Linked DNA regions of Neodiprion lecontei. The protein of the gene in region 1 interacts with the protein of each later gene in a pairwise test. Links are inferred from orthologs where the notes say so. Each region holds a gene or a part of one and is shown on either strand. Other genes may lie near its edges.

The links.
Region 2: the proteins of myosin-VIIa (region 1) and cadherin-99C interact in binary tests that used the Drosophila melanogaster proteins (3 or more experiments, as listed by UniProt). The link is inferred for Neodiprion lecontei from reciprocal best matches to the Drosophila melanogaster genes ck and Cad99C.

The regions. Positions count from the first base shown.
Region 1 is NC_060264.1:23,440,570-23,445,433, forward strand, and holds the start of myosin-VIIa, read right to left. Parts: upstream 3,017-4,864; 5' UTR 2,922-3,016; intron 2,903-2,921; exon of another isoform or gene 2,482-2,902; intron 1-2,481. Other genes in the region: angio-associated migratory cell protein, read right to left, coding at 4,415-4,487, 4,558-4,739, 4,819-4,864. UniProt on the Drosophila melanogaster protein: Myosins are actin-based motor molecules with ATPase activity. Unconventional myosins serve in intracellular movements: can function in cells as a single-molecule cargo transporter.
Region 2 is NC_060260.1:9,972,892-9,977,839, forward strand, and holds the start of cadherin-99C, read right to left. Parts: upstream 3,046-4,948; 5' UTR 2,413-3,045; coding exon 2,410-2,412; intron 1-2,409. UniProt on the Drosophila melanogaster protein: Cadherin that functions in epithelial morphogenesis and the intestine epithelial immune response. Essential for female fertility. Regulates the length and organization of apical microvilli in developing follicle cells and salivary glands.

The DNA.
Region 1 (4,864 bases):
CGTATTATAATAATACGCGCAGTAAAACGACATTTATGGCACAAGCGTAAGTATGTAACGCGACAAGGCTGTTTATCAGGCAGCCTTCGAGTATCATAAAAATCCATCATCATTACATAGATCCCGCATTCCCGCGGCATATCTTACAGCCCACAGCGACTTGTAACGGGCACGGGTTTAATTCAAGATGCGCGTGTACTGTAAGCCTGTAACTTCGACGGTGTCGAAGAGGATGAGGACGTCGATACACGCACGTATTGTACGTTGTACGCGTAACATGCATACGATGCCCGGAGTGCTCTATTCGGCCTCGTACGCAAAACAATCACCGGCCACGAGGTGCAACGTGTTTCAGTGTTGGGCGTCGGGGATGTAATTACCATAAGCAATTATCGCGCGAACCTGCACCGGTACTTACAACAGTAGGTTGCTGCTGTTGCTGCTGTTGCTGCAGAATACCTAGATCGAACCTAGATATTTTATTCATTTAACGTGCGCAAACGGGCCCCTTTCCGTTTCTCATACCGATGCTGTTCTTCGAGACCCGTCGCGCCGCGGCGAGACAGGGGAGTTGTTATCCTGGTCAATCACCGTTAGCGCTCACGGTATAAGAGCCAACTTTAAACCTGTTTGCGAAGTGGGTTAGATATTCTGCCTGTATACATTTATACACGTACAGTAAGTGTGTACACAGCCGCGCAACCCGGCTGGATAACACCATCGTCGTCGGTTATATCCGCTTACGCGTTTATACATATAAGACTCGATAGTCGATAATTCGCGTCAACTGTACCTATGCTGAAAAATGAAGCGCACATCCGATTCGCTGACGACGATGTTTACGTGTGTGCGTTATGTCTAGTGCTCCGGACTAAATTGCAGATCTTTTCTTTTGCTTACCCTCCTGCGGCTCTCTTCCTCAACCGCGGTTCATTTTCAATATAGCTAATTATCACCAATCTTCATGGTACGTGACTCTGCACGTCGAGAGAGGGATGGTGAGAGTTCGTTGTATTGTTTACACAACGCGTAGGTATATCCGAGTGCGTGCGGTCATATTTCTATGCACTTGTTTATCGGATATATTATATGTCTTGTCTGCATGTTGGCTGTATGTGCAGGAGGGTACTAATGAGACTGAAGTTAGTAACGTTAAGGCCACGAAACATTCAGGGAAACATGATGATTTTCGCTAGTTTATAGTGACTTTGAAATAGTTCAGTTTTCGAAATATGAATACGTTTTGCCTTATTATGATTTACTGCATTTCAGACATTTCTGCAACTGTGTAATAACGATTGTTTCGAAACGTAAATCATTACAATAACGTTACTAACTTCAGCCTGATATGTACTACGTAACGCCGCGCGCACGTGCGCGACCCGAGTTAAGCACGACTCGTAGATGTGAATGTATAATTCATACCTAGGATAGGTATGTACATGCATACATACACATCGAAACTTGGATTTCGAGAATATCAGGCATTCAAATCACATTCGGAGCTCAAAATAATGTAATTAAACATACAGCTAACAGGTCTCAAAGTGAATCGGGATGGTTGAAACGGTCAACCACTACATCGGGTGGCGCGTTTAGTTACTGTTATAAAAACATGGAAAATCTCAGTAATTGAAGCAATCAGAGGTTAACAAATACTCCAATAGATATCGAAGGATCGTATACTTGTATGTGCATTATAAGCACACGCGCAACTGTGCCAACATTGATCATATGACATAACGAGCTGATCTGACCGAATGCCGCGTTTCCTGGGTACCTTATAAGTCATACCTAATGCATAGTATACATGCTTACATCACAGTATACATGCGTACTGAAATTGCGGGATCGTGGCGACGCGATAATTTTACACGACGTTTAATTATTACTTTTCTCAGGTATGTATGACTCATACTCATAATTGTTGTACCAAAAAAATTTGCACGCAGCTATATATACACCGTTTAGTACTGTAGGGAGGAAGGAAAAAGGTGTCTACGGTAGAGAAACCGGAGTCTGAAAAAATTGTTCTCCGAGTGTACTTGGCGCGAGAGCTTACCGAGTCTCTCGATACGCCCGATCGGGAATCCCGTACAACAGCCAGGGTATTAAGCAGCAGCAGCAGCACAGCAGTCATTGACTGCAAAAATATATGGGGAATTCACGATGAAGGAAGGAACGGTCAGCGGTAACGGTAGGCCTTACAGAGTTCGATTCCTGCTAGACGCGGCGGAGCGTGAGAGAGATGAGAAATATAATATTTTCTATACACACGATCGTGTATCTAGGCGAAACTATTGAAAAAGCAATTGACCGAGCTTCAAAAATCGGGCGTATCAGTGTATAATCCCTAAATGAAATACAGATCGCCGTAGTAATTTTCCAGTGTCTCGTGCAGAGATCAAGGTCCCTGTCGCTTCCCACAATATTACGTGTATGTATTAACATCGATTTGTACGTAACAGATGCTTAGCTCACCTTGTTGAATACGCGTAAGTAATTGCGGGTGTATTAATCGGCTAAATCCCAAGACTCCATAAGGCGGCACACTGCAGAACACTGATCGGTACTCGGCGACCTTTCATTCCCAAAATATTCACCGTCTATTACAGGTGTGGAAGATCGAATCGTTAAAGTCGCGGCGATTTACGTAAAAGTAGAGCGCTAAGAAGGCGCGCGTCGCGTCTCGAGACCGAGGGTTCGCCGATAACAAGATAATTGTAATGAAACAAGGGTAAAGAAACGATCGAGAATAATATCCGAGCAGTTTTTAACGCCGAAGTCTACCTTTAACCACTTATACGGCTACAACGGGCCGTACGGGGTACGCGGTCACCGGCACATTAACACCACACTCGCTCGGGGAGGTTCGGTTTAGATCGGAAAGTGACTGTGGCTGTCGCCTGCCTTATGCCTACCTGTAGCCAGGTGGAAGTGGCGGCGTGCTGCTCGCTGTGCTAGGCGAGTAAGGCGAGGCGCGGCAAGGTAAATAGCTGACTGAATGTTGACTGAATGGAGAGCGCGAGTCACGGCGATTCGACGACCGCACCGCGTTACGGCAGGTGAGCGAGAACAGGGGCAATACTTCGAGGACGAGAGGCCCCACCTGACGTCCCGATTTGAACTCACCAGGGGAAGAAATCCGGAGAAGGAACGAGGATGCAACGACTACCTGCCTGACCTACAGACCGCCTCGCTCTCACAAGGCGGATTCCTGATGATGATGATGATGATAACTGATTCGAGGAGGAAGAAGAAACCGAAGCTCGATCGGGAGGCAGTGTTTAGATTACACGCGTTTCTTAATTCTTTCCATTCGTGCTATTTAGGCATCGCACTTATTCCCGTATGCGAGTGAGGAAAACTTTCTTCCTCAGCCTCTTGCGAGATGAAGACACTTCATTTGCGAATTGTGATGAAAGTAGATCTTAAGGAATCGGAGCTTAATGTTAGTCAAGACGATACCGATTCTTCAATAAACCCAAGTTTTAATCATTAAAATAAAGGGGAACCCCAGGTCTACTGATGTATCTACATTGTATGTGGGCATTCACATAATTGCGCATGATGAATCAATTCCACGCAGTCCGAAAACGTTGCGAGCAACATATCAAGATTAGAGCCGAAAAACGAAAGATTTCGTTGGCAATTCCACTGCTGTTGGACTCACGCTGTTTTTGATGTCTTTTTCTGATTCCTGACGGTCCAATTAGTGGAATAAGAGCACTGCAAAACGAATCTCAGACGAAAACTTTGCGAGCTCTGAAAATCGCACAAAAGCAAGGAAACCCTTTGGATTTATTCAGTTGAAATTTAGCCGATTTGAAGAAATGGTTAAATTAATTCTTTGTGCACTATATCGACGTAATTTTTCGAGAGGAATCGATTGCACACAGTTCGAATACGGTGCGAGCATCTGATCAAGAGTTCCAGCCGAAAAATTAAAGATTTGTAATCTTTCCATTGCTGGTCTGTTGCTCGCTTTGCTAACTTTTTGTGCTCCTGAGGGTCCAATTAGTCTACAAAGGGCCATACAAGACGATACTAGGACGAAAAAATGTTTTGCTCGAAAAATAAGACTGAATTTTTACTGAAAGTTTTGACAGTTTTGAAAAATGCTGGAATCAACTCTTTGACGCGCTATAAATCATACATAAATGGGGCAAATAATAATCGTAACAATTAAGTTAACAAATAATTCTTTACTGTTCAGTATCTAGTATACAATATAATACAATTTATTTTTCACCATCCTTGATTCATGTGGAAATTTGCTGAGGATAATTATATTGGTGTGATTAAAGAATCACGGGTAATTATCCTCTATCGTATGTCGATCAAAAATCGTTTTCTCCAAGATAAAACCCGCATTTTTGTGATCAATGGGAAATAAATCCTCTTTTGTGATGTGTCAATTTGGATCACCGATATTGAATATCCGGGCAGTGGAGTCATCCGAGGTGGTTAGCATTGTCTTTCCATCGCTATAAAACCGAATCGGTCAATTAATTTAGCTTTCGTTTACGACCGTATAAATCGTTGATTGATTCTTACCGAGAGATTACCAAATCGAGAATATCCGCGTGATGTCCCGTATAGGAGCGAAGCTCTTCACCAGATCTTGCGTCGAACGATCTCACCACTCCGTCAAGACCCGACGAATACAACCGTGTTGTGTTCAGGTGCCAAACCAGCTTGCTTATGCCACTGCTCTGCTGGATCTCGTGCCGAATCATCTGAGTTAAGAAAATCCCACATTTAGGCATAGCGAATGACAAATAATCTTGCGATTCCACCTTCACCATTGGGACCCACCTGTTTTGCGATGTCCCATATGAATATCTGTCCGTTTACTGTGCCT
Region 2 (4,948 bases), on another chromosome or scaffold:
TTGCATTAGACAGAAAAACTGACAGCCAACGACAAGCCTGCGTCGAATCCTTCAAATTTGTCTAGTATCAAAGTCTACTTCTTGATGCAATTAATTTATGTCGCAATTGAACGAACGGAAGACTACGGTCAACCCTTTCATTCGCAGTGGCAATCTTTTTTCTTCTCCTTTTTTTTTAATGTTCTATTGGAAAATCCCGAATTTTTTATTTTTTTTTGCATTCTCAGGTAATTGAATTGCGTGATTGAAAGGGTAAAACGCGGAAGCTGTAAAGTAACTTTCTTCCACGGCATATTACGCGGTCTTCGCTATTGAGTAAATCCGTAGTACGTATATAAGATGTAAATTGAAAAGTGTTCGCTCTAGTGCGTAGCTGCAGGCAATTTCAGCTCGCAAAAGAGTCAGAAAAAAATAGAATTATTACCTCACCGCACGCGATAAGGGATTAGGCAATCACGTGTATTTTGCATTTTACTAACAATAAGTACGAGAAAAGATTGGTTTTTGACTCACAATGTATGTTCAGTTAGATTAACGCGTTATATTTTTTAAATTAATTTTCTAGCAAGTATCGCGCTTGTTTGTTTGCGATGCGGTGTGGCATCTAAAGCAATATTGAAATCTAAAAAGCCAAGGATGTAGAAGCGTTGAAAAACCCATCGATTCATGATTCATGATTCATGAGCCCGGATCGGAAATCCGTAAAACCAGCAATTTAACCTTCGGTTATGATTCTGCTCTTCTGTTGCAAGAGAATTAGACTACAGCGAATCACCAATTTTACAGTTCGACCAAACAGACTTTTTTCAGTCATTTCGAATGAATCTAAGTGATTCTTATAGAGTTTTTGCCCCAGAATTCCGCTTCAACCACAAAAAGATCAGCCGCATCCAGTTTGACGGTTAATTGAATTTGGAAACAGAAATGTACGTTTTCAACATTTTTCGAGAGATTGCGACTTGAACTTAAGATGTAGTTTGAGAAACCAATAGTTTAATTAAATTACTTCATCAGAACATATTTTCCCTCGTTTTTTACCCGTGAACATCAAGTGACTTAGAGATTGCAATGTCTAAATATTTTTATATCCGTATCACTTGCTCACTTCTTTTGTTCACGAAAGCTCTGAAGTGCATTTTATATTAAACGAACAATATTTCTTACGGTTCGATTTTCAAGTTGAATGTCAAGCCTTAATATGTCAATGTCAAGAATGTCAACTCGCTAACGTATTCTACCTCCGATTAAAAAGCTTTTAGCAGATCAAAAACGGAATGTGTAATGCATTTTCAGAAATAAAATAGAGTTCTAAGTTTGTTAGTATCTGGGAATCGTCCAATTTTATTTCTTATGATTTTTGCTCGTTCAACACTGTATTTTTGCATGAATTACAGATTCGATTATTTATTGGCTCTAGCCTGGGATGTCGACAACGTCATAATCTCATTGAAATCATTGGAGTTGAGGGATTCTAACCGGTTGCAAATATTAATCAACGAACCGATGTGATCTCTTTTCGATCCACTCGCAGGTCTAGACCGGAAATTGGAATCCGGATGGAGCTAATAAACTTTCCGCAGGTGTGTGTGCAACAAACCCGTAGTGTACTTACTATCTGTAGATCTCTGATCTCTTCGTACCTATGCCCTTCGTTTTCTCACCTACGTTTGATCCCCATAGCTGATAACTTTTCACCTGCGTCATTATATTTTCGCAACTGATGTTTACAATATTCACAGGTTTGTTGATGGCAATCTGAATAATCCGGAATTTCCCCGGCCCCATTCGAAGCCAATTTACCATTCGTGTTCTAATTAATAGGTAATTGCATTCTTAACTCCAATGTGAAAGCAGCGTTGAAAATTTTACTTCTTACCATTTCACGAGGCTGAAGTTAATAAGATTAACGTAACGAATCATCAGGGATAATATCATTACTGTGCAATTCCTGAACGAATTTCAAGAACTTGGCTTTTAAAAATATGAGTATGTTTGGTTTATCATGGTTCATCAAATTTGAGACGATTATTTCTCCTAAACATCCACTGTTACGGTAACGTTACTAGCTTCATCCTCATACCATTTCTGCTATCGATCATTTTCCTCTTCAGTTAGTCAACGTGAGACAACAGAAATACATGGCTCTAGAATGCAGAAGGAGAATCGATAGACCTTACTGCCTATATTCATTATTCGATGCGTCAGGGCGTAAAGAATTTCAACATTTGTCACAAGCCTCTGTTGAGCTACAGCCATGTGTGATAGACTCGATGACAGTGTCATCGTAGACTCAAAACGTTGTACGTAGACTAATAGGACGCGATCAGCGATGATCAAAGGAAGATATTTCCTCGTGAACTTTATAATTTATATCTATACCCATGGATCTCGACGGAGTAAAAGACGTACCATGATCGGCGAAAGTCAGTATCCGTTCCAGTAGCAAAGTATCTGCATATCCGCTTTGGAGGATGAGGTGTGAGGTAAGTCAACAGATCGGCATGTCACAATGATCACAGTCACAGTCACGGGCACACGGTGGCGTTGATGAAATTTCTCACTTTTAAGAACGACGCGGAGTACAAAAAAAAAGAAAAAAAAAAAAAGATAGAGAACTGACAAGGTATTTTTACCGCATAGACCGATAGATTCGTGCGCTCTAAAGACTAGGATACTAATAAATCCGTTTCGTAGGTAGGTATTCACATTCACCCCGCACAGCACCGCACGACACATGCACAAGAAAAGGATCGCGCGAGTAGCGATTCGCTCGAGGCGAAGCGGAGCAAATCGGCGAATGTACCGCGTGTCACTGGGGCAACGGACACGTGACCCTAATATCGGATCGGCACAACGATAACTCGGCGTTTGTTGTCGAGGTCTTCGAGTTCACCCGTTAATACGAGGCGTCTCCTCGCGCCTTATCAACTCCGTAGTACAACAACAGGGGCTGTTGACACAAGTGTTTTGACAGCGATCAACAGGCAGCTCGGCCGCACCGCGCGCTAGATTTTAAACCTGGCGGACTCGGACTGAGTGCTCGGCGCTCAGGTAGACGCCAAAGTGCCGTCGGGGCCGATCGGGGTCCCCTTCCTTCCCTTTCCTTTCCTTTCCTTTCCAACGGATAGCCTCCCTTCTCTTGTACCTCTTTCTTACATTAGCCGACGACGCAAAGTCCCAGTGGAAGGTCCCCTCCCCCTCTCTCCTCGCCTCTTTGCGCCTCTTTGCGCCTTTTTGCGCCGCTTTGCGCTCAGCCTTTCACGTACGCATCTCCCTGTCTTACCACCATGCGTTTAATTATCGTTTCCGCAAATAGTAGCCCAGTCGCTATGTACAAAAAAGAACACCTAAAATTGCAATTTTTCGATACCACTATTCGATATTTCTAATCGTTGGGAAAGGGGGATCATTAATAGTAAAAATACAAAATTTCGACCAAATATCTTCAATAGCTTCGACAGTCGTCCTGAATTTATTGTTTAAGTCGGGAAATTTTGACCGTAGGCAAAAAAATGTTGCGACCAGAGTTGTAGTGAATTAAATTTCCTGCAAGTCTAGCTGAGACCATTTTAATACAGCTGAAAATGGGTGAGTAATATGAAAAAATGAAAATCCCACATAAATTCCGTTATTGCGGCTGAAGCTACTTCAGAATCTGGTCGAAACTCTGGATTTAGACTACCAATGACGCCCCTAATGATTAGAAAAAGAAACTAGTGGTATCGAAAAATTGCAAATTGACATCATTTTTTGTCATCGATACGAAAAAGTTGAAAGCTGGATTTTACAGATATATGCAGAAGTTTGCGGCTCTTGTACATTTTTAATTTTTTTCCCCACATATTTATAAATCACTTTTTTCTCTGTACATCTTTTGCCAAATGCTTCTATACTATAGATGTGTCGAATTTTTCTATGATTTTCTACAGTGAAAATTACAGTATTTGTTCAAAGTTACGCGAGCTCGTTAGAATCGAATTTTCTGTGGTCATTCGCTATGACGAAAACTGCATTTTCTAAGAATTTTTTGAACATTCTGTCTACGATTCTATATCGGATCTGTCGATCGTTTTGTAATCTATCGTTCTGGTAGATCACTGCCCACATCAGCTGACGTAAAAAAAATTTGCGCATAAATTTACTAAGACACACAATTCTTCTAAAACAGTCGAAATCAAGAAAAATAAATAATAACAGTGAAACTAAAATGATTTTCAAACATGCAAAGGTATTATTATGTACGTTACTGGCAGCTGAAATAATTTGATAATAACAAATAATCGTATTTTAAAACTCTGTTTATCCACAAAACATGTAAAATTTTTCCGGATATATTATATTGCGAATAATGATGGCGATGCAAATTACTTTAGGATATTGAGCTTTCTTGGTTAACATTAACGTTTTTACTAAGCGTTAACGTTCGTTAGTAAAAATAATAACGGCGAAGAAAGTAAACATTTTTATTCTCATCACTAGTCTGATTCTGAGCTTGTGGGGGATATAACAACGATAAGCGATATATTTTCCATTCATTGAAAGCCCAGCCGAAAGTTTTGAATAAGGCGGGTCTTTGAGATCTGACAGAGATTTCAAAGAGATACATATTCGAAAAGAAGACGCGCTCGTCTTATGAATGAAATGATTTTCGTAGTCCAGCCCGAAACGTGATAGCGACGTTGATCTTGCGAAGCTTCGCCGGCCCTCGTTTATTGTTAATTGCGTTAGAAGACAGGCGTAATTAGCAATTAGTCGTCTCTCCGTTTTTATGCAATTAAACATTGACCCTATCTAGAGTAACCGGTTCGGCGTGACTTTATAAGCCAAGTGGATGATGCGGTCGGGTCTTAAAAATATTTTGGCACGATAACGAGAATAATAAGGGATTCTCGTTTGAAGATGACGAGTATTTCTCGAATTGCGCGAAAGGATAAGAAGTGAGACATAT